Oryctolagus cuniculus: one gene and its partners. The protein of the gene in region 1 interacts with the protein of each later gene in a pairwise test. Links are inferred from orthologs where the notes say so. Each region holds a gene or a part of one and is shown in the gene's direction. Other genes may lie near its edges. The genes, in order: NECAB2, ISCU and SSC5D.

The links.
Region 2: the proteins of NECAB2 (region 1) and ISCU interact in binary tests that used the Homo sapiens proteins (3 or more experiments, as listed by UniProt). The two-hybrid records come from large-scale screens. The link is inferred for Oryctolagus cuniculus from reciprocal best matches to the Homo sapiens genes NECAB2 and ISCU.
Region 3: the proteins of NECAB2 (region 1) and SSC5D interact in binary tests that used the Homo sapiens proteins (3 or more experiments, as listed by UniProt). The two-hybrid records come from large-scale screens. The link is inferred for Oryctolagus cuniculus from reciprocal best matches to the Homo sapiens genes NECAB2 and SSC5D.

The regions. Positions count from the first base shown.
Region 1 is NC_091449.1:65,754,154-65,760,889, forward strand, and holds part of NECAB2 (N-terminal EF-hand calcium-binding protein 2), read left to right. Parts: intron 1-918; coding exon 919-943; intron 944-4,127; coding exon 4,128-4,236; intron 4,237-5,607; coding exon 5,608-5,633; intron 5,634-5,764; coding exon 5,765-5,862; intron 5,863-6,736. UniProt on the Homo sapiens protein: May act as a signaling scaffold protein that senses intracellular calcium.
Region 2 is NC_091452.1:17,762,699-17,769,534, forward strand, and holds the start of ISCU (iron-sulfur cluster assembly enzyme ISCU), read left to right. Parts: upstream 1-2,977; 5' UTR 2,978-3,067; coding exon 3,068-3,181; intron 3,182-4,251; coding exon 4,252-4,365; intron 4,366-5,006; coding exon 5,007-5,117; intron 5,118-6,836. Other genes in the region: SART3 (squamous cell carcinoma antigen recognized by T-cells 3), read right to left, coding at 1,391-1,708.
Region 3 is NC_091449.1:3,474,199-3,481,034, reverse strand, and holds the start of SSC5D (soluble scavenger receptor cysteine-rich domain-containing protein SSC5D), read left to right. Parts: upstream 1-2,969; 5' UTR 2,970-3,497; coding exon 3,498-3,750; intron 3,751-4,213; coding exon 4,214-4,240; intron 4,241-4,467; coding exon 4,468-4,776; intron 4,777-4,973; coding exon 4,974-5,087; intron 5,088-5,281; coding exon 5,282-5,383; intron 5,384-5,698; coding exon 5,699-6,007; intron 6,008-6,836. Other genes in the region: ZNF628 (zinc finger protein 628), read left to right, coding at 1-420; NAT14 (probable N-acetyltransferase 14), read left to right, coding at 1,423-1,494, 1,796-2,344.

The DNA.
Region 1 (6,736 bases):
CGCCAGTCCTGCTCAGACCCCCTGCTGCCTGCAAACACAGCAGGGAATTTGGGGGTGTCAGTGCCCCTCCCCCGGCCTCAGTTCGTCTTGGCTGGACTGAGGTGGGGGCTGCTTTCAACCCCGGGACCCCTCTCAGGCGGCAGGGCACTGGGAAGCCTCCCCAGGGTCCTGGTTACCATGAGGGCTGTGACTCGGCGGCCCAGCCCTCGGGGTTTCTCCCAAGTGCCCAGGAGCGGCAGGTGCACCAAGGCCTTCGTGGCCGCAGGTGTTAGCGTTCGGCGCCCAGGTGTTTGGTGCCCAAAGGGGAGGGACCCTGGCGTTAGAGCCCCTTCTGGGCTCTGGCCCTGCGCGTGCTGCACCTTGTAGGGTGATCCATGGCTCTGCCCTGCGCCTGCAGGTGTCGCCTGGTCTCGAAGTTCAGGCTGGGGTCTCCTGTCTGTGCTCCGGGTGGGCTGCTGCTGTCAGCTCCCCCACCCAAAAATAACGCCCTCCAGCCCATGGCTGATCCTCCCTCACCGCCTTCGAGGCTCCCAGCCTCCATGGAGACCCCCGCGGCGTTCTGAAAGGAGAGCGTTGGTAAAGCGAGGGGCTCTCCGAGGCACCGTGTGGCTGCGTGCCCAGCGCCGGGCAGTGGGCGAGCTGGGAGGGCCGCGGCCGGCCACCTGCGGGGATGCGTGTGGGTGTGAGCGTGCAGGCGCACGCCGGCTCTGAGCATGGCTGTGGGCAGGCTGGTGCCACAGGAGGGTGTGGGGCGGCGGGCGGGGTGGGGGCTCTGCCTGCAGCCTCCCTCCCTGCCCCTGGGTCCCGGAGAGGCTGGAGCTGCTCTGGGGGGAAGAGGGACCTCGGAGCCTTGGTCAGGAGCCCCTGCAGGGCGCCTCCCGGCCTGGGCGGAGCTGACGCGGCTTCTCTTCTCTGCAGGTTTTCCGCCGCGCGGACAAAAATGGTGAGTTGCCTTTCTGGGCTGCCGGGGGTGGGAGACTCGGGCACCCTAGAACCTAGAGGTCAAGAGCACAGGACGCTGAAGTCGGGAGTCCTGATCCTGGCAGTGCTGTGTGCCTTGGTTTGTCTGTCTGCAAAATGGGAGTCCTGGCCCCCTTATGCACTGGCAGGGGCTGTCCTAACTGCTGCTTCCTAGCTGCATTTGCATGCCCCCAGCACAGCGCCCCACAGAGGCCTCGCCTGCCCCTCCACCTCCTCCTCCTCCTCTTGGGTGGAGGTGGGGCAGGGTGGGCGTTGTCCCCAGGGTTGATGTGGCTGGGAGGTGACAATGAGGGAGAGCTTTTTCTGCTCAGGGCCTGTGGGGGGCACCCTGGGCCCCTCCTCTCGGTGCACGGAGCCTGGCTCAGCCGCTCACAGCTGCGAGACCACAGGCAGGCCCTGGGGGCTCGGAGGAGGGCGGTAGCTGGGCAGCAGCAGGTGTGAGGCCTGGCGCTGTTGGGGGGGGGGCACTCAGGGAGTCCCCCCCTCCCAGCTGTGCCAGGTGCTTACCAGGCGGGAGGACTTGAGCAGGTTCTCCGCGGATGTCTCCCCCCACCCCCACTTCCTGACGGCAGAGGGGAGGCTTTGGGGGGGGGGTCTGATCCAGCAGCTGGAGCTCAACACTGGTGTGGGAGTGGGAGCAGCTGTGCATGCGGGGGCGGAGGCCAGAGCGGGGCAGGCACAGGGCAGGGGGAGGGCCAGGCTCCTACGGGTCCCAGGGCTGCTGGACACAGGCCAGGGACCGTGGGAGGTTCTTTGAATTTTTTTTTATGATTTATTTATTAGAGGGAGATGGAGGGAGAGATCTCCCATCAGCTGGTTCAGTCTCCAGACTGAGCCCGGCCAAAGCCAGGAGCTTCCTCGGGGTCTCCCCGTGGGTGCAGGGGCCCCAGCACTTGGGCCGTCCTCTGCTGCTTTCCCAGGCGCATTAGCAGGGAGCGGGATCGGAAGTAGAGCAGCCAGGACTCGAACCAGTGCCTGTCTGGGATGCCGGCGGCGTCGCAAGCGGTGCCCCAGTGCCACAGCGCCGGCCTCTGCAGGGGGTCTGATGCGATGCCGCAGGGGAGCGGGGGTGGGGCATGGTCGAGTTGGAGGGGAGCAGGGGCTGGGGGCTGGCCTGGCATGAGGGCTCTTGTGACACGGCCTTGGCTGGCCGAGGTGGACGCCAGTCCCCAGGGAAGGCCCAGGGGCCAACCCAGAAGGGCGGCTGAGCGGCAGGCGGCAGCTCCCCTGAGCCTAACAGGCTGTGGGCGTGGCGGCTGGGCTCGCGCTCATTAGCAGGGACATCTGAGAGAGGCCTGCTCGGGTCTCTGCTGACGCCAGGTGCTGGCTGCTTGTCTTGTCTAATTGGACGGAGCCCTGGGCAGGTGGTGGTTTTTGCTTCATTAGCTGATGGGGCTTCGCGTTCCCGGTAAATGTCACTCACGTGACCTGGCAGCGTGGGGGCAGGGGCCCAGAGGAGCTAGGGCAGGCAGGAGGTGGAGGCAGCCTGGGGCTGGCTGGGACTCCTGCTGTGCGGGGCGGGTGGCGGCCCCACCCCAAAAGCCTGCTCCTGGGTGGGGTCGCGAGGTTAGATGCCCGAGCCAGACGGCCTGGGCTCAGGCTGCTGCCGTGGGACCGGAGCGAGCCCCCGGCCCCTCTGTGAAATGGGGTGGTAACACCACCTGCGTCCTGGCACTGGGGAGACCGAGGAGTGAGCCCTCGGGGAGGCCTGTTCGCACCATGCTGGGCCGAGGTGGGGGTGGGGCAGGCAGTATCGCGTTCTGTGCAGTGCACGGAGCCCCCTCTGGAGGTCACAGGTCGCACGGCTGGTGTTGGACTTCCCACGGTGGTTTTGAGGACTTTTGTACATGGGATTATTTTGGTTTCTTTTTTAAAAAAGATTTATTTATTTGAAAGTCAGAGTTACACAGAGGAGAGGCAGAGAGAGAGAGAGAGAGAGGTCTTGCATCTGCTGGTTCACTCTCCAAATGGCTGCAACACCAGAGCTGTGCTGATCCGAAGCCAGGAGCTTCTTCCGGGTCTCCCACGTGGGTGCAGGGGCCCAAGGACCTGGGCCATCTTCTACTGCCTTCCCAGGCCATAGCAGAGAGCTGGGTCGAAAGTGGAGCAGCCGGGACTCGAACCCGCGCCCATATGGGATGCCGGCACTGCAGGCGGCAGCTTTACCTGCTACGCCACAGTGTTGGCCCCGATTTTGATTCTTGGTCTTGTTTTTGGAAGGTATAAGTCCTGTGTCCTCCCGTGACCCTGAAACTTGAGCCGGGCTGTGGGGGCCCAGGCGCACCCGTGCCCAGCCTCCCTTCCCGCCCATGTGTGTCCTGTCTCACAGCGCTGGGGAAAACAGGTGTGGCGAAGGCGGGTCGGGTCTGCGCTCCCTCCCTCTCCTCCTCGGGCAGGGGCAGCCGCACTGGCAAGTCTGAGAGTGACTTCCCCTCTGGCCGCATGGGTCAGCCATGTGTGGGTGCTCAGGCAATGGCACGGCCCCCTGAGCTCCGCTGTCCCTCACACACAGGGCTGTCCCCAGGGAGGCGTCCTTAGCGCCTTCAGGGGAGGGCATTGGCTGTGGGGAACTGGGGGAGGCCCCACCTGCCTGAGCTGGACCTGCTGGGACCAGCAGTCAGACCAGCCCGGAGCACCAGCAAGTGGCAGGACAGGAGGAGGGGACACAAGGAGAGGGGACAGGGACAGGAGGCAGGCCCTGTCCCCTCTGCCTCCCCTGCCCCATTCCCAGGACCGCAGCCTCCAGCCGGGGTTGATGGACAGGCAGGACGAGCATCTCGGCACGCGGCCGTGTGGGGCGAGGGGCTTCATCGGACCCCCGGTCGGACCCCCCTGCTGTGGCGCCGTGACCTTGGGCTGGGTCAAGCAGCTTGTGCTTGGGGGTGAACTGAGTGACGGCTGAGCGCCGGGTAGGGCCGACACCGGGACAGGGTCCATGAGCCGGCGATGCTGCCCTGTGTCGGCCTTCGTGGGGGTCGGCACTGCTGGATGAGTGGGAGACACCGTGTGAACTGGGGTTTACCGTTAATTGCTGGCGGGGTGGGGGACGGCAGGGGCCCGCCTGCTAGCTGGGCCTGGGGTCCCGGGGTCCCGGGGTCCCGGGGACCGCCCCCGCTGCCCCTCACGGCCGCGCCCGCTCCCTGCAGATGACGGGAAGCTGTCCCTGGAGGAGTTCCAGCTCTTCTTTGCCGACGGCGTGCTGGACGAGCGGGAGCTGGAGTCGCTGTTTCACACCATCGACTCCGACAGCACCAAGTGAGCGAGGCCGGGGCCCCAGGTGGATCAGCACCGCGCACACCTGTGTGGCTGTGGCTGCGCGGCTAGCGCCCCTGCAGACCCCCGCCACCACTGCCTGCGACACGGAGCCTCCCTAACGCTGCCCCCGTTTTAAACCAAGCTCCGCTTAGGACTTGCTCAGCCCGCCCCACAGCGCCCACACCTGTGCCTCATTAGCCTCTCCCAGCCCATCTCGCCCTGACCTGCATCTCCACACCCACCACGGGCCCCAGCCTGGCTCAAGTTCAAGTGCATCCCCACCCCCGACAGCCTATGCCCCCTCCACCCCACTCTGTGGAGGGGCAGAGTCCTTGCCTGGTCCCCCTCCTCAGGCCCGCTCGGATGGTGGGCACCAGAGTTCCTGGGGGCTGCCTGGGGCAGGTCTGATCATCTGGGGTCCCTTGCTAGACAGGAGGGAACGAGCAGCCGCCACCAAGCCACGTGCAAGGGGCCGAAGGCAGTGCTGGCCTGGGCCGGACTGGGAAGGGGCAGGTGGAGTGGGATCCTCGCCTATGGATGGACACTAAAGAAGAGGCTCTGAGGGTCCCTGTGGCTGTGTGGGGGCTGGCAGGTGCAGGCGCTGCCCCCTGATGGGTTCCTCCTCACTTGCTGGCTTTTATGGGGGGCAGCGGGAGGTGCTGCCTGCAACGGCGAGCCTGGCCAGGGCCACAGCTGGCCTCACCGCACACAAGGGCCAGGCCAAGACCTTGGCGTTGTTGGCTCTGGCGTCCGGCCAAGTGTGAGCCGAGGACATCAGCTGCCTGGGGTGCTGAACTGCGCGGCCGCCTCCTGCAGAACTCGGAGCTCCCAGTCTGCGGCCCGCACAGCCCCGCGTCCAGCCCCGCGCCCTGGCCCCGGGGTTCTGCTTAGCACACTCGGGTGGGCCGGCCCCTGCGCTCTCGGGCACATGGTGGGGAGGTTGCCGGAGCCTGTACCACCACTCTGTCCCCAGTTCCTGGCCCGGTGCACCTCTGATGCCGCTGTGTGCACCTGTGCCGCCAGCCTCCTCTACGCTGTCGGGAGGGGGGCCCAGGGGCTAGGGGTGAGGAGCAGGGCTGAGCTGGGTTCTCCAGGAGCTGTGTGGACGGCCTGGACAGCCAGGGCCCGCCCTAGCCCTGCCTTTGGAGCCCACTGTTCCCCAGGAGGTCGGAAGCCTTTGGAAGGGAAATTGGGGCAGTGGGTACTGGCCACGCCTACTTGGACAGAGCCACCTCGGGGTGCGGGCACTGGGGGTGCACGGGAAGACAAAGGGCGGCAGGAAGCCTTTAGCAAGCTGCACAGGGTCCCCCCCCCCCACCAGCTGTGGAGGGGTGGGGCCACCACACTCACACCCCTCTCCTCTCTCTGCAGCCACGTGGACACCAAGGAGCTGTGTGGTAGGTGCCTGGCTCTGTGCCTACAGGGGTGGGACGGGGTGCAGGCAGTGAGGGGCAGAGGCGGGACTGGGGGGCCGCGGGCGAGGGGCAGAACCCCCCCATGACCCCCGACCTCGGCTTCCCGCCCCCAGATTACTTCGTGGAGCACATGGGGGACTACGAGGACGTCCTGGCCTCGCTGGAGACCTTGAACCACTCGGTGCTGAAGGCCATGGGCTACACCAAGAAGGTCAGCGGGGTCCGAGGCCCGGGGCTGGGATGAGCCGACGGAGCCCAGCAGCCCGGGCGTGGTCCTGCCTGTGAGGGTCCGGTTGGAAGCGCAAGGTTCCCGCCCAGGTGCAGCCTGGCCTGGAGGGCGAGGGGGTCCCCCGACAGGTGCTAGCCCCAACCGCCCGTGGTGACCCCGTGACCTGTGGGCCCACATCTGCTGGGGCAGGAAGGCACGGCAGGCCCTGGAGGCGGCCCCGGGCAGGCGGCAGGCGGCAGGCAGGAGGGCCTGGGCAGCAGGGACCTGTGTCCTGCAGCCCCTGTGGAGGCGCAGGCACGGCTGCCCCCCGCCCAGCACCTCCCGGGGAGCAGAGTGGCAGTCCTGCAGGGAGCTCCTCACCGGCCCTCCGTGCGCTGCAGCCCGAGCCGCTGGCTGGGGACAGAGGAGAAACTGAGGCAGGGCCCACGGGTGCAGCCCCCGGGCAGCGCGGGCCCCTCCGGAAGGGCCAGCCCCTGCTGTGGAGGCCACGGGGCCGCAGTGGAGGAGTCGGCCGCCTCTGGCCCACGCACACCCCGGGCTGTGGGACAGGGGCACAGACCCGAGCTCTGCTGAGCGCGGCGTGGCCTCCCCCGCGTGCGGGATCCACGCTCACAGGCCTCAGCGCGCACGTAAAACCCACTCCAGAAAGGTCCGCGGCGCAGCGCTAGAACGTGGCGTGCGCCCGTGGCTAGGCACCATCCGTGTGCGTCAGGTGAGGGTGTCACGTGAGGCTACATGGCTGGGCGTGGCCTGGAGCGCTGTGCGCGAGGCTGCGCCGTGGGCTCCGGGGCTGCCGTTGCCGGCCGCCCACTGTCGGCGGGCACGTGAGGTCCGGCGGCTGCTGCCCAGCTGCAGC
Region 2 (6,836 bases), on another chromosome or scaffold:
CTAAGGGGTCTATCTCACGCTACAGGTAATTACGGCCCCAACAGCAAGGCAGTTAGGAAAACGAGGGGCCGGGGGGTCAGAATGAGGAAGGGGAGAGGGTTGGAAAAACTGGCAAAGTTCATTTCCGAAGCCGGAGGCCTCGTCAGCTCAGACCACCTGCCAGGCCCCAGCTTGTGGGCCTTCCACACCCACCCTGGGCGGCCTGAGGCCGGACGGGCAACCGCTGTGCACCAGCAACAGGAGGCGCGGCCTCTGACCCCTCCTCCGCCCCCAGGGAGCTGAGCAGCCTCGCCCTGGTGTCAAGACGCCCCTCCTGCTAAAACAGGGGGCCCCGCCGCCCCAGCTCGTGGAGGAGTGCAGTCAAGCACCAGGGCCAGCAGTCGGAGGGCGGGAACACAGCCCGCGCGGCGCCCGGGTCGCCCTGTATTCGCTGCATCAGACACCTGCGCTTCCGCATACCAAAACCAGTGGCCGTTTCTACTGACCAGAAATGGAGCCACTGGTTCCTCTGGGAACAGCTCCCGGGCACGGATCGCACTGCTATCCAGGGCTTAAAAAAAACATCAGTGCTAGGGAGGCATCCCAACCAAGCGACCCCGGGCGGGGCTGAGTGAGAACCTGGGTGAGCAGCCTCACACCCCCGAGCCGGCCAGGGTCCAAACCCCACTCTGAGCGACTTGGAGCAAAGCCTCGGCTTCTTCCCGCCTCGCTGGCGCCCCACGCTCCCCACCCTGCCCCGGGCCCCCCAGCACCGGGCGCCCAGTGGGGGTTTGCCCAGCAGGACGCCCCAGCAGAAGCTCGGAGGGAGGGGAAAGGTTAGCGTACCGCTTCCCCCATCCCAACCTCTGCTGTGACACTGAGCGTGCACCAACGACCGAAGCTCTCAGCACATCTCGGGAGCTCTTTGCACACAACCATCGACGGGACCGGTCACTCCCTACACCCCCTCGGGGCTGGACACAACGTTTCCCAACCGGCAGACGGGGCAGCCCGGGCCAGGGGCGTTAAGCACTCCGCCCAAGCTACCAAAAGCGGGGCAAACCTCTGTCCCCCTTTCCGCGCCCGCGACCACCGTCTCAACCGCTATCTTCCCTCCCCCGCTGCGCTGGACCCCCGTTACCATGCCCACAGGAAAAGGACTCCATCCTAACAAGACCCAACTTTACCCGGGCGGTTCCGAGCGGCTCAAAGTACCGGCGGCCCGACCCGTCCTCGGCCTCCGGCGTGAAGCGGCGCTAGCACCGCTCCCGTCACCGAGCCTCCACCGGGCAACGCCTGCGAAGCACCAGGGCCGCAGGCGGCGATCCAGGACCGCAGCTGCGGGGATGCCCGGCGGCCTGCCGGCTTTCGCGACCGCGGGGCGGGCCGGGGCCCCGGAGCGAGGGCCCACCTGCTCCTCCAGCCGCTCGATCTCCAGCTGGTTCTTCTCGTCCTCTTCGTCGTACTCCCATTCGTACTCCCCGGGGGAGCTCTCCGCCGAGGAGGCCATGGCGTACTCCTCATCCCCATCGCTCTCGCTCATGCCTTCCTCTTGCGGCTGGTCCCACCCTGGCCCCATGGTCTTGGACGTCGCAGCGGCCACAGCCCGCGACAACACCTTCCTCCTCGTCCTGGCCGCCTTGACCTCATCCTCCTCTCCCTCGGCCTGGGGCCCGGCCTGGGGCTCGGCCTCGGGTTCCGAAGCCGAAGATGCAGCCGCCGTCGCCATCTTGCGCTTCAGGGACTCCCGGGTCTTCCCTCGGCCGCCGAAGACCCGGCTGAGGGCGAGGCTGCCCGCGGCGCGCGCCTGACCAAAACCCCCGCTTTCTTGCCACCGAAAGGGAAACTGGGAGCCTCAGAGGACAAGAAAACAGACAAAAGTACGCAGTTCGTATTATTTTAATATACTTTCAGAAACCTCCGGCGAAGAAAAGGCTCCTTAATATGACAGGTCTTCCGGCACAACTCCGGACAGAAGTTGGGTCTTTGGACAGGAAGTGGCGGCCATAGAGGAAGTCGTGGAGTGAGCGTGGTGTCTGCAGTGACGGGCTTGGCGCCATCTTGAGAAGGTCAAAGGATTCCTGTAAATAAATGTTTTCTTAAAGCCTAGCCGGACTCGGAGCGGAGCTCGGTCTCCCAGCAACTGAGGCTCAAACGCTAAGAAAACAAATCCTCCGGGAAGGATCGACTGCACCATTCACGGGACAAACTCACTTCCCTAAGAGAGCCTCCCTTTCTATGCAATGCCTCGTACCTGGTAGACGTTAAGTGTTTGAATTTTCCAATTTTATCACATCGCCTTATGCAAGCCAGCATCAATAGAGTCCATGAATAAACATGTCTTTAGTGGCTCCTCATTGCCATGCCTTGTCCTATAAATTAGGAGTTTGCTGTTCTGTAAGGAGATCTCAACAGAGATACAATCTAGACATTGTTTGGAAAATAAGGGATTGGTGTTTGATTCCTCCTTAAGAAGCGTCCCATTTTTGAGGTAGGGAAATATTGGTGTGTGTGCGTGTGTGTTCATTCACTGCCTTTCTCCCTCATTACCAAGCGTAAAGGGACCAGAACGGTGGGGTTTGCTTTCCGTGCAAATCCTCCACTCTGTCTAGCGCCGGCACTTAATATGTATTTGCCGCGTGGCTAAAACAATTGTCCTAGAATTACCACGGATTACGCTTGGTGAACTGGCACCAGCCGCCCAGGGCGCACAGCCGGGGAGGGGCGGATCCCGGAGCTGGGGTCACCAATTGTCCCCACTGAGCCTAGGTCTCCGCGCGAGCACTCTGAGCCTCAATGGCGCACTGCAAAGTTGTACCGGGTCCGCCTCTAGAATGCGGCCTTGCACCCTCTCAGCCCGGCCGCCGCGGAATCCCCAGACCCCAACCCAGACCCCAACGCCCCGCAGCAAGCCCTCCCGCGCTTCCCACGCCCCGCCCCCGAGGGGCGTGGCCAAGGCGAGGCCACAGCGCGGACGCGCGCACGGAGTGGGCGGGCGCAGGCGCGCTGACGTCAGCCCGACTCGCACGCGCGCGCGCGCCCCGCCCCTCGGCGTCGCTCTGGGGCGGCTCAGGGGCTCGCCGGAGAGATGGCGGCGGCTGGAGCTGGCCGTCTGCGGAGAGCGGCGTCGGCCCTGCTGCTGCGGAGCCCGCGCCTGCCCGCCCGGGAGCTGTCCGCTCCGGCCCGGCTCTATCACAAGAAGGTAGGGGCGAGCCTAGGGGTGCGCGAGCGGCCGAGGGCACCCAGGCGTCCCCGGATCCCAGCCGACACTTCCGTCCACGGCAGGTGGAAGTGGCCGAGGCAGCAGGGGCCATCGGCGCCCGCTCCTCCGCCCACTTCCCCTCGCTGCGCGGTGACGGGAACGGCTGATGGATAAACGCAGCTCAGCAGGCGGCTCCCGGTTGCTTCCCCTCCGTTGCCCACGGCCCTGGGCGGGGATCCTGTGCGCTTGGCCTTCGGAGTCGAGGACACACACAGCCCGGCGCGGGCTCGGGCCACTGCCCGGGCCAGGTGACCTTGGGCCAGTCGCCGCCGCACTCCGACCCTGTTCCCGCGGCTCCCCAGCAGGAGAGAGTGAGCGTGGGGTCCTAGGCACGCGCTGTCGCGGTGGCGGGGTCGCTGCACCTGCTCGGGGTTCGCTTTTGCCTCTTGGCGAGGGAGGGAGAGCGAGCCGTGGCTGACAGCCGCTGGCCGCGTCCCCGGGGGCGTAAAGACCCCGACGTGTGCGCCTGCCTCTGTAGGGAAGCAGCTAAAAACCACGCAGTAACTCAGAACGGAGTCTGGAGTAGACGTGGTTCTCTCGGGAGGCCTCGGGTGGGATGTGGGGCGGGGGCTGGCTGCTTCGTGGGCTCGGGGCTCCGGTGGCATTTTGTTGACATTTTGTGCAGAAGGGACGCGGGCTCGCGCTAGGGGGCGCGGCTGCTCCGGGTGATGGCATTGCCCGGCGCTGTTTTGTTTATTATTATTTTAGCACCTCTGGTAGATAGCATTGTGCGTTCTGCAGCGGCCCCCCCCCCCCCCCGGAGGCTTCCGAGAAAGCCTTGTGGCCCTGGGCTATGAGTGGTGTTTTTTACAGTTTTGAATGGTGATCCGTCTCCTTGGAGAGTGGATTTTATTGGGGGGAAGAGGAGCCTGTGACACAGAGGGCCCTCGTTGATGCGAATGTAGGCTCTCTCTCTCCCCCACGGGAGACGTGTTCAGTGGGCGCCTGCCCGGGGCGGGGTGCTGACGTCATGGGGAGAACGTGGCGATTTCCCGACTTTCTCATTTCAGGTTGTGGATCACTATGAAAACCCCAGAAACGTGGGGTCCCTTGACAAGACGTCCAAAAATGTCGGCACTGGCCTCGTGGGGGCCCCCGCTTGTGGGGATGTCATGAAGTTGCAGGTACGGGTCCGGACGGGCCGGGCAGCTCCCCGCTCTCGCCGCGTTCCGTTTGGTTCTGGGAGGAGGCCTGTCGTAACGGATTGAGCAGGGACTCCTTCCTACTGCTGTCCTGCAGTGCAGATCTTTTCTGGAGGAGGGAGCTGACTTCACGTTCCACCTCGCTGCGTCAGCCTAGACTCCAAGTTAGCCAGCTGGAAGGGTCTGTGAATTTTGCTGATCCAAGGGAAACCGTGTGCCCAAATCGGAAGCGTCCTGCAGGCAGCCGCTGGCACTTGGGTTACAGCAGCTGTACCCTGGACCTCCCTCCTCATGGGCTGGGAAGCCCACCAGAGACCTCACATGCCTAGGAACACAGAGACAGGGCAGGAGGGGGCCCCTCAGTGCAGTGGGTGCCCGCAGGAGACTCGCACTGGAAACCCTCTGCTGTCTGGAGCAGCAGCTGCCCAGCAGCGGTGGGCCGACTTCCTCCCAGCCCCGAGCAGGCCGGGGCGGCAGCGAGGCCTGGGCGCTGGCCCCGGCAGCCCCTGCGTCATCCCTGGTCTCGGAAGCAGCCGGTACCCAGCACCTTCACTCGCAGCGTGGACGGCGAGCCCGGAGCTCTGGGGGAGACCCGGGAGTCACCTCCTCTCTCTTTCCTCCAGATCCAGGTGGATGAGAAGGGGAAGATTGTGGACGCCCGGTTTAAGACCTTCGGCTGCGGCTCTGCGATCGCCTCCAGCTCCTTAGCCACCGAGTGGGTGAAAGGGAAGACGGTAAGGCTGGGGCTCCTTGGCCCTCTGGCAGCACCGCCTGCAGCCTGCCTCTCGGAGGGGCAGGTGTGGCCGAGAGGAACAACACGTCACGAGGTCATTCGCAAATGCTACCCGCACAGTGTTATTTCAGTCCCCCCTCCCTAAAGGTTGACCCCAGCCTGCTCCACACTGTGTCGGGCGGTGTGTGGATGTTTTGTTGTTGATCACTTTTCCCTGGGTGTTTGGGGGCTGTATCGGCTGTCAACATCACTGCGGCAAAAAAAAATCCAGGACTAGCTACTTAGGAAGAGAAGAGAGGTTGATTTTGCCTCCAGTCTGCAGGTCCAGGTCCAGGGCTGGGCAGCCCCACGGAGCCAGCCATGTGGTGCGGCAGGAGCAGGGCAGTGGTGCTCGGAGGCCGCCTCACACTGAGCCAGGAAGCAGAGGGCGTGGCTGGGCCAGCTGGGCTTTTGCTGCCAACCCTTGTGAGCACCACCTCCAGGGCACGGCCCCAGGGACCCAAGGAGGAAGGGCCTCCTGCTGGTGCCACCGCCTAAGCCCCATAGCGGCAGGAGTAAGGACTCGGAAACACAGGGGGTGAGGGCAGGGTCAGCCCCGGGAGCAGTGGTGCGGTGGCTGCCGCAGGCTTCCGGGAGAGGTGAGGAGGGCTGGCGCACCTCCTCCCTCCTCTCTGCAAAGCCCCCTTCCCCAGCGGCCGCAGCGGGGGGAGGGCCCCCGTCACCCTGACAACCTCTCGGAAGCCAGCCCGCAGGGACACGGGCCAGGGAGCCAAGTCTTAGGAGCAGTCGTGCAGTGCTGGCCAGGCCACGTGCCACCTGCAGCCTCTGGCCCGGCCTCGGCTGGCAAACTCCGTTGGCGAAGGGAGCACTCACCTGACCTGCTCTGGCCTCACGTGGCCCCCATGTGATTTGTCAGCAGGGACTCTCAGGTTCAGCACTGAGACAGGGCCCCTGGGCTCAGGGTCCTGGCCATTAGCAGGCTCCGAGCTATGAGCGAAAGCGGGCACAGGCCTTTCTTTAACTTGAGATTCCACCCCCCACCCCCGACCACCAGGGTTCCCAAGGCACTGGGGCTGTGTTCCCCCAGGCAAGCTCCTGCCCACCTCACTTGGTGCCCGGGGCTGCCCCAGGGGGAGCAGGGGGCAGTCCTGCAGGCAGAGGGGTTGTCTGCAGAGAGCTCCCGGCCCTGGGCCTGCAAAACCAGCAAAGAAAACCAAAAGAAAAGGCCGACCCCTGTTGCTGTCTCACACAGGCCCCTAAGAGGCTCCTCACGGATTCTGCTCCTGGCAGAATCCCGGGACTTGGCCGCCCTGGCCAACCCTGGCCAGGCAGGGCGGATGTGTGTACTTTGTCCTTGAGAGCCCCAGTGCAGGAGTCCTGAGAACTGAGTTACTAAACAGTGTGTGTATCTGTGTGTGTGTCTGTGTCTGTGTGTGCATGTCTGTGTGTCTGTGTGTGCATGTCTGTGTGTGTCTGTGTGTATGTGTGTGTATCTGTGTGTGTGTCTGTGTCTGTGTGTGCATGTCTGTGTGTGTGTGTATATGTCTGTGTCTGTGTGTGTCTGTGTGTGTATGTGTGTTTCTGTCTGTGTGTGTCTGTGTGTGCATGTCTGTGTGTGTCTGTGTCTGTGTCTGTGTGTATGTGTGTGTGTGTCTATGTGTCTGTGTGTGTGTGTATCTGTGTGTGTGCTGTCCCCCGCCCGGCCTGTGCTCAGGCCGCT
Region 3 (6,836 bases), about 62 Mb from region 1:
CTCTTCGAGACGCTGCAGACGGACGAGGGGCTGCAGAGCGTGCTGGTGCTGAGCGGGGCGGACGGGGAGCAGACCCGGCTGTGCGTGCAGGAGGTCGAGACCCTCGCCCCCGGCCTCAGCGAGCCGCCCGCCCCCGGCCCGCCCGGGCAGAAGGTTCTCATCATCCGCAGCGCCCCCGCTAGCGAGCTGCTGGAGGGCAGCGGCGCGGGGGGAGGCGCAGCCACGCTGCAGCTCGTGGCCCCGCCGCCGCCGCCGCCTGGCCCCGCGGCTGCCCCCGCCGGGCTGCCCGCCGCTTCCCCGGCCCAGATGGTACAAGTGGTCCCCGCAGGAGCTGGGCCCGGCGTCGTGCCCCCGCAGGCCCTGCCCTCCATCCAGATCGTGCAGACCCTGCCCTCCGTCCAGCTGGTGCACACGTTTTGAGGCCCCACGGGTGTCCGCGCCCGCCTCACGCAGACCCCGCCTGCAGAGTGCAGGGCCTGCGGGCCAGGCTTGGTTAATAAAGACCGCGGATCTCTTCTCTCTCGCTTTCTTGGGGTGTGGGGGCTGGGGGGAGGGGGACAGCGCCCGGGCTGTGGCCCCGCCTGGGAGCCCGGAGCCGGGACTTGCTTCATGTCCTGGGGCGGGGCACGAGCTCAGCTTCCCTGGCCTTGGGGGGGGGACCCGAACCCCGGTTCTGCCGCTGGTTCGCTGCCAGGCACCCCCCGCCTCCCCCCTGAAGAGGGGGGAAGAGACCCTCGCCCCTCAGAGCCCTGCAAGCCGGGGCTGGGGTGCGGGTCCCCGGGGACCGGAGCTTGGGCGCAGCCCCTCCCGCGAGGGCCCGCGCGCCAATGGGAGCCCGCGCGCTGCCGTCACTGCCCTCCCGCGCCCGTTGCCCGGCGACGCGGGGACGTCGCGCAGGGGCGCGCGCCCACTCCTGCCCGCCGCGGCCGCGGCCCTCTCCCCGGGGCTCGGCGAGGTCACGTGGCAGAGTCACGGCTCGCAGCCTCGGGCCCCATCGGGAGGCCTGGCTGCGGTGGCCGAGGCCGGGAGCCCGCGCCCCCGCCCGCCCCGTTCGGCTCTGACGCCACTTCCGCCGGCGACCCCTGCCCGACCCCGCTCCCCCACACCTCGTGTAAGGTGCTCGCGGGTCCTCCTGCGACGCGAGGGGGCGGGAGACGCCTGCAGGGGCGGGGGTGGGGGCCCTCACGGCGGCCCCTGCGTCGGGGAAGGGTCAGGCGCTGCGCAGTGCTGGGGCCCACGGCCGAGCAGCACGGGGCGCGGGAGTCCCGGGGAACATTCGGGGGCGCCGCGGGCCTGAGTGCCCCGGGAAGCGCTGCTGTCCCCCGCACCCCGGCGGGCGGCCACCTGACGCTGATCTGCTTGTGTCCTCGGCAGGTGCACGACGCCAGCTCCCCGCCCGGGGGCGGGCGCCTGGGGGCCGCCATGGCCCCCAGCCACCTGTCCGTGCGGGAGATGAGGGAGGATGAGAGGCCCCTGGTGCTGGAGATGTTAAAGGTGAGCCCGGGGGCGGGGGCCGGGGTTCGCTGGGAGTGGGCTCAGCCGCCCCGAGCGAGTGTCCTCCGAGGCTGCCTCTTCCCTGGGTCCCCCTGGCTCCCGGCTGCCCTCTACCCTTTGCCAGGGGCTGGCAGCAGCTGGCTGCTGGAGGGCGCAGGCTCTGACGGGCAGGGCCACGGACCTGGATGCCCCCGCCCCCAGCTTCTCACCCATGCAGCCCCCACACCGCCTTCCGCTCCCACCTGGGGCCCCTCCCCCGCCACACACAGTGTGATGGACAGCCGAGGACCCCTCTCCACAGGCCGGCGTCAAGGACACGGAGAACCGGGTGGCCCTCCACGTGCTGACGCGGCCCCCGGCCCTGCTCCTCCTGGCCGCGGCCAGCAGCGGCCTGCGCTTGGTCCTGGCCTCCTTCGCCCTGGCCCTCCTGCTGCCGGTGTTCCTGGCCGTGGCTGCCCTGAAGCTGGGCCTGCGAGCCCGCTGGGGCTCGCTGCCTCCCCCGGGCGGCCTGGGGGGGCCCTGGGTGGCCGTGCGCGGCTCCGGCGACGTGTGCGGGGTCCTGGCCCTGGCCCCCGGCACCAGTGCAGGGGACGGAGCCCGCGTCACCCGCCTTTCTGTCTCCCGCTGGCACCGGCGCCAAGGCGTGGGCAGAAGGCTGCTGGCATTCGCCGAGTCCCGGGCTCGGGCCTGGGCTGGGGGTATGGGGGAGACGCGCGCCCGGCTGGTCGTCCCCGTGGCCGTGGCCGCCTGGGGCGTGGCCAGCATGCTAGAGGGCTGCGGCTACCAGGCAGAGGGTGGCTGGGGCTGCATGGGCTACGCGCTCGTGAGGGACTTCTGCAAGGACCTGTGACCCCCACCCCTGAGTGTCCCCGTGGCCACCGGGAGGATGGGGCGGGGCTGGAAGGTGGCGCCCGCTGCATGCCCGGTGCCCCGTGCGTGACTCCCCAGCACACCTGGGGCTCGGCCGCCGGTCTGTCCGCGTGGTGTCTGGGGGGGTCTGCACTTCTCAGGAATCCCTCTTCCCTCGTGGCTCCTGGGCCACCAGAGGTCACGGACCCACCCCCGCCCCCAGCCCAGGGGCACCTGTGTCCCCAGCCTGCCCCGCCCTCCAGGAAGGGACACCTAGCGGAGTTGGGAGCTGCACAGGACACGGCCAGAGGGGACAGGGCCTCCCGGGGAGAGGGGTGGGGGACACGAGGTGCTGTGGGCAGCGGGCACCCGGCCGCGGCTGGGGAGCTGCGAGGGGCCGCGGCTCTTCCTCCGGACCCAGCCATCTGGTTTCCTACACTGTTTGTTAATAAAGCCCGAAGTGGCCTCCTCTCTCTGATGCCTTTTCCAGTCTGTCTCTGGACCCCCGCCTCCGCCCCCCCCCCCCAGCTTCTGTCTGGCTCCTCCTTCCCCCGAGTTGACATTAATTGTGGGTGTCTGGGGGGAGCGGGGAGGCGGTGAGCTCACAGCAGCCCCGGTCCCTGCCAGTCTCTGAGTCACGCTCCCCATGACTGCATTTTTTCCAGCTCACAGCTGCCTGGTGCAGGGGACGTGTGTGTGTGTGTGTGAGTGTGAGTGTGAGTGCGAGGAGTCTGCGGAGCCCCCTTCCCGCCCCCTCCCCACTCCGGTTCAACGCCTCCGGCCTCAGATGGCCGTCTGAGGGGGTTCACGTTCAATCCCGCCGATGAGGAATGAGGGAGGGAATGGACGGAGCAGTTTTCCATTCTGCTCCCTCTAATCCAGGAAGTCCCTCCTGGTGTCTGGCTACAGGCCCTCTTGCTACCGCTCCCGGAGTCCCAGATCTGCCTGGCCCCTGACCCCAGCAGGGGTCAGAGCCCACTCCCCAGAAGGTCAAGGGAGGAGGCAGGAGAGTGGGTGCCCCGCCCGCGCCCCACGCGTGCACCCGCCTTGCCCCTGCCCGGCAGCCTGCCGTCCCTCGGCTTGGGCCTGCCTGGCCGTCTGCGTGTGGGTGTTAGCCGTTCACCCTCCCCCCGCCCGCCACCCCCCTCCTCCCCATGCCGGAGCCGCTCGCCAGCCCCCTCCCGCCCTCCGGTCCCCTGCCGCCTCCCTGCAGCCTCTCTTCCTCCTGGTGGAGCCTTGGGCCCCTGCCTGCTCCTCCGCGGGTCCGGGCGCCTCCGGCCGGCGCTCCCTCCCTCGCCTCCGCCCTCGCTTGGCTGCCGCCTGCTCCCCTCTCCTGCCCTCCTTCCCCTGTCGCCCCATCCCCTCCCCCGGACTCTGCAAACATGAGGGTCCTGGCCTGCCTCCTCGGTGAGTGACCCTTCCCCTGGGGACTCAGGGGATCCGGGCCCCCACCTCTGACCCCTTAGCACGTCCAGTTTAGGGACTGGGGCTTCCGGGAACCCAGTCCTTGGTGCCTCCAGATAGCCTGGCCACTGGCTGCCCTGCCCGGCCCCTCGGGGACTCAGCCTCCTGAGAACAGAAGGGGCCTGGCCCAAGCCCTGGTCCTGTGGAGGTCACGGGCCATCTGACCTTTGGCCAAGCAGAGCCCCAGGTGCCCAGCCCTGGCCCCAGGCCAGGCGTCCGAGCCCCACCCGTCTCAGGCTTGGTGGCCCTCTGCCCGGGCTCTGGCTCCCAGCTCCCAGCGTGGGTTTCTGGGTCAGAGGCGTGGCTGCTCCGAGAGTGAGTGTGCGTGTGTGTGTGTTTCGGGGTATTCGGGATGAGGCGGGACCCCCGGGGCCTGCCTCTCACGCTGTCCCCCAACCTCTTGCAGTGGTGCTGCTTGGGGTTCGGGCCATTGGTAAGTCCCAGACACTCTCCCCGCAGCTCCACGCCTCCCCGGGTCCAGGCCTGGCCTCCCGCTCCTGCTGGGGGTACCCCCGTTCCACCATGACCAGCACCACTGGGCACCCCAAAGTCTGGCCCCGGCCCCCCGACTGCACCCCACAGGACAGCCTGCACCCCCTACCATCACTCTGACCCCAGACCTCAGGGATGGTCACAGCCTCTCCTCTGCCCCCCAACCAGAGCGGCTGCGCCTGGCCGACGGCCCCCACGGCTGCGCCGGCCGCCTGGAGGTCCGGCACAGCGGGCGCTGGGGCACGGTGTGTGACGACGGGTGGGACCTGCGCGACGCCGCCGTGGCCTGCCGGGAGCTGGGCTGCGGGGGGGCGCTGGCTGCCCCCGGGGGCGCCTTCTTCGGGGAGGGCGCAGGCCCCGTGTGGCTCAGCGAGCTGGCCTGCCGCGGCGGCGAGGGGCACCTGGGCCTCTGCCCCCACCGCGGCTGGAAGGCCCACATCTGCAGCCACGAGGAGGACGCGGGCCTCGTCTGTGCAGGTGAGCGAGCAACCGCCGGAGGCTCCCAGCCCCCGGTCCCCTCCAGAGCCAGGTCTCGCCCTCCATCTGGGACCCCCAACTTAAACCGCTCCTGAGCCCCAGACCCCCCACCCCGTATTTCAGCCCCTGCCCATCTCCCTGGGGACCCCCATGAGCCCTCCGCCCCGGCCACCCTCCTCTCAACCTCTCTCCTGCAGGTCAGCGCGTGGCCGATTCAAGGGACGAATCACCTCCCGCCCCGGACGGGGACCCCTGGCTGGGGCTGCCTGGGGAGCTGAGCCCCAGCTCCGAGGAGCCCCCTGTGACTCATGGTGCGCCCGGAGGACCCCCACCCCGGCTCCACCTCCTGCTTCAGCTGTGGGGGAGGGGACGCACAGGTCCCCAGGCTGGCTCTCCTGGCCCAGGGCGTCCTCTGGCACTGTGGCCCTTGAGAGGGGGCTCCTGGTCCTGTGTGGGGGGACGGGCGGCAGCCCTGCCCCTGACCTCCTGCTGTCTCCCCTCCCAGCCCCCCGCCTGGCCGGAAGCCCCCGGAAGAAGAGCCCCCGGCCACCCAAGCAGGTCAAGTCCACCAGGGCCCCTTTGCTGACGGCTGGGGCCCCCCGACAAGGTGGGTGCCCTGCAGACATGACCTGCACACTGTGAGAGCCCAGGCCCACCGCGCGGGGCCCCGCCTCGGAGCCGCCCCTCCCTGGGACTCAGGGGCCAGCCTGGTCTCCCCTCTTCTTGCCGTCCCTGACGCCTGCCCCATCAGGGATCCTGCCTCAAAGATGGTGGCTATTTCCCCCGAAGGGGCCGGGGGGAAGGCGGACCTCAGACCAGTGCCCGCTCCGGGCCTCGGTTTCCCAGGAGGGGGCTGACTGCTTCTCCTGAGCTGTGGTCAGACCCCTCACGGCCCCTCCCTCCCACCCGTGCCCCCCTCCAGAGCGGCTGCGCCTGGTCTCAGGCCCCCACAGCTGCGCCGGCCGCCTGGAGGTGTTGCATGGCGGGCGCTGGGGCACCGTGTGTGACGACGGGTGGGACCTGCGCGACGCCGCCGTGGCCTGCCGGGAGCTGGGCTGCGGGGCCGCGCTGGCCGCCCCCGGGGGCGCCAGGTTCGGGCCGGGCGCGGGGCCCGTGTGGATGGACGACGTGGGGTGTGGAGGAGGAGAGCAGACCCTACGGGACTGTCCCCGGAGCCCCTGGGGCCGGAGCAACTGTGACCACAGTGAGGACGCCGGGCTGGTGTGCACGGGTAGGTGAGGCTGGCCCCTCCCCCACCTGCAGTCAGGGCCCCCGGGGAAAGGTGCTGGGGCCGGCCACAGTGAGGACGCCGGGCTGGTGTGCACGGGTAGGTGAGGCTGCCCCTCCCCCACCTGCAGTCAGGGCCCCCGGGGAAAGGTGCTGGGGCCGGAGCCGGGGCTCCGCTGCAGGGCCAGGGCTCTGCCAGGGCCAGGGCTCTGCCAGCGTTCCGGATGGAGCCGTAAGGCTAGGAGTGCCCTCCTCAGGGGTTCCCCCAGGGCGAGGAGGCAGGGAGCTGAGGCGGAGGGGGAGGAGTGACCTGGGGGCCGTGATGCCGGAGCAGGGCTCTGCTTCCTGCCGGGGGCTCCTGCCCTCCCTGTTCCTCTGGGACCTGGGATGGGGCCTCCCAGGAGAGCCCCGGGGTGCACCTGCCTGCCCTCCCCCCTTCCCTTCCCATTCCTCCTTCCTTCCACATACGTCCTGCACCGGAAGCCCAGGCAGGCCTCCTGCTCCTGGGCTCCTTAGGCTGCAGGAGCCGCGAGGCTGGCCGACTGCCCCAGTTGCTGCAGGTCTACATGGCCCCAGCTTGCCTTGTGCCAAGCGGACGGCGGGCAGGCACCGTGTCCCCGTCCTCCCGAGCCTCCTGGGGGCCCCACGACATGGACTCGGGCCCCTCTCCCTTCCCAGATGGGGAAACCGAGGCTCCTACAGGGGGCGCTGTGAGCCCCACACCCAGAGCCGAGCAGAGTGGCACACGGGGGTGGGGGGGATGGGCTGTGCACCCAGTGGTTGGAGGGGGAGCAGGCTGCAGAGACGCTTGCTGCGAGGGCCAGGTGGGTGGG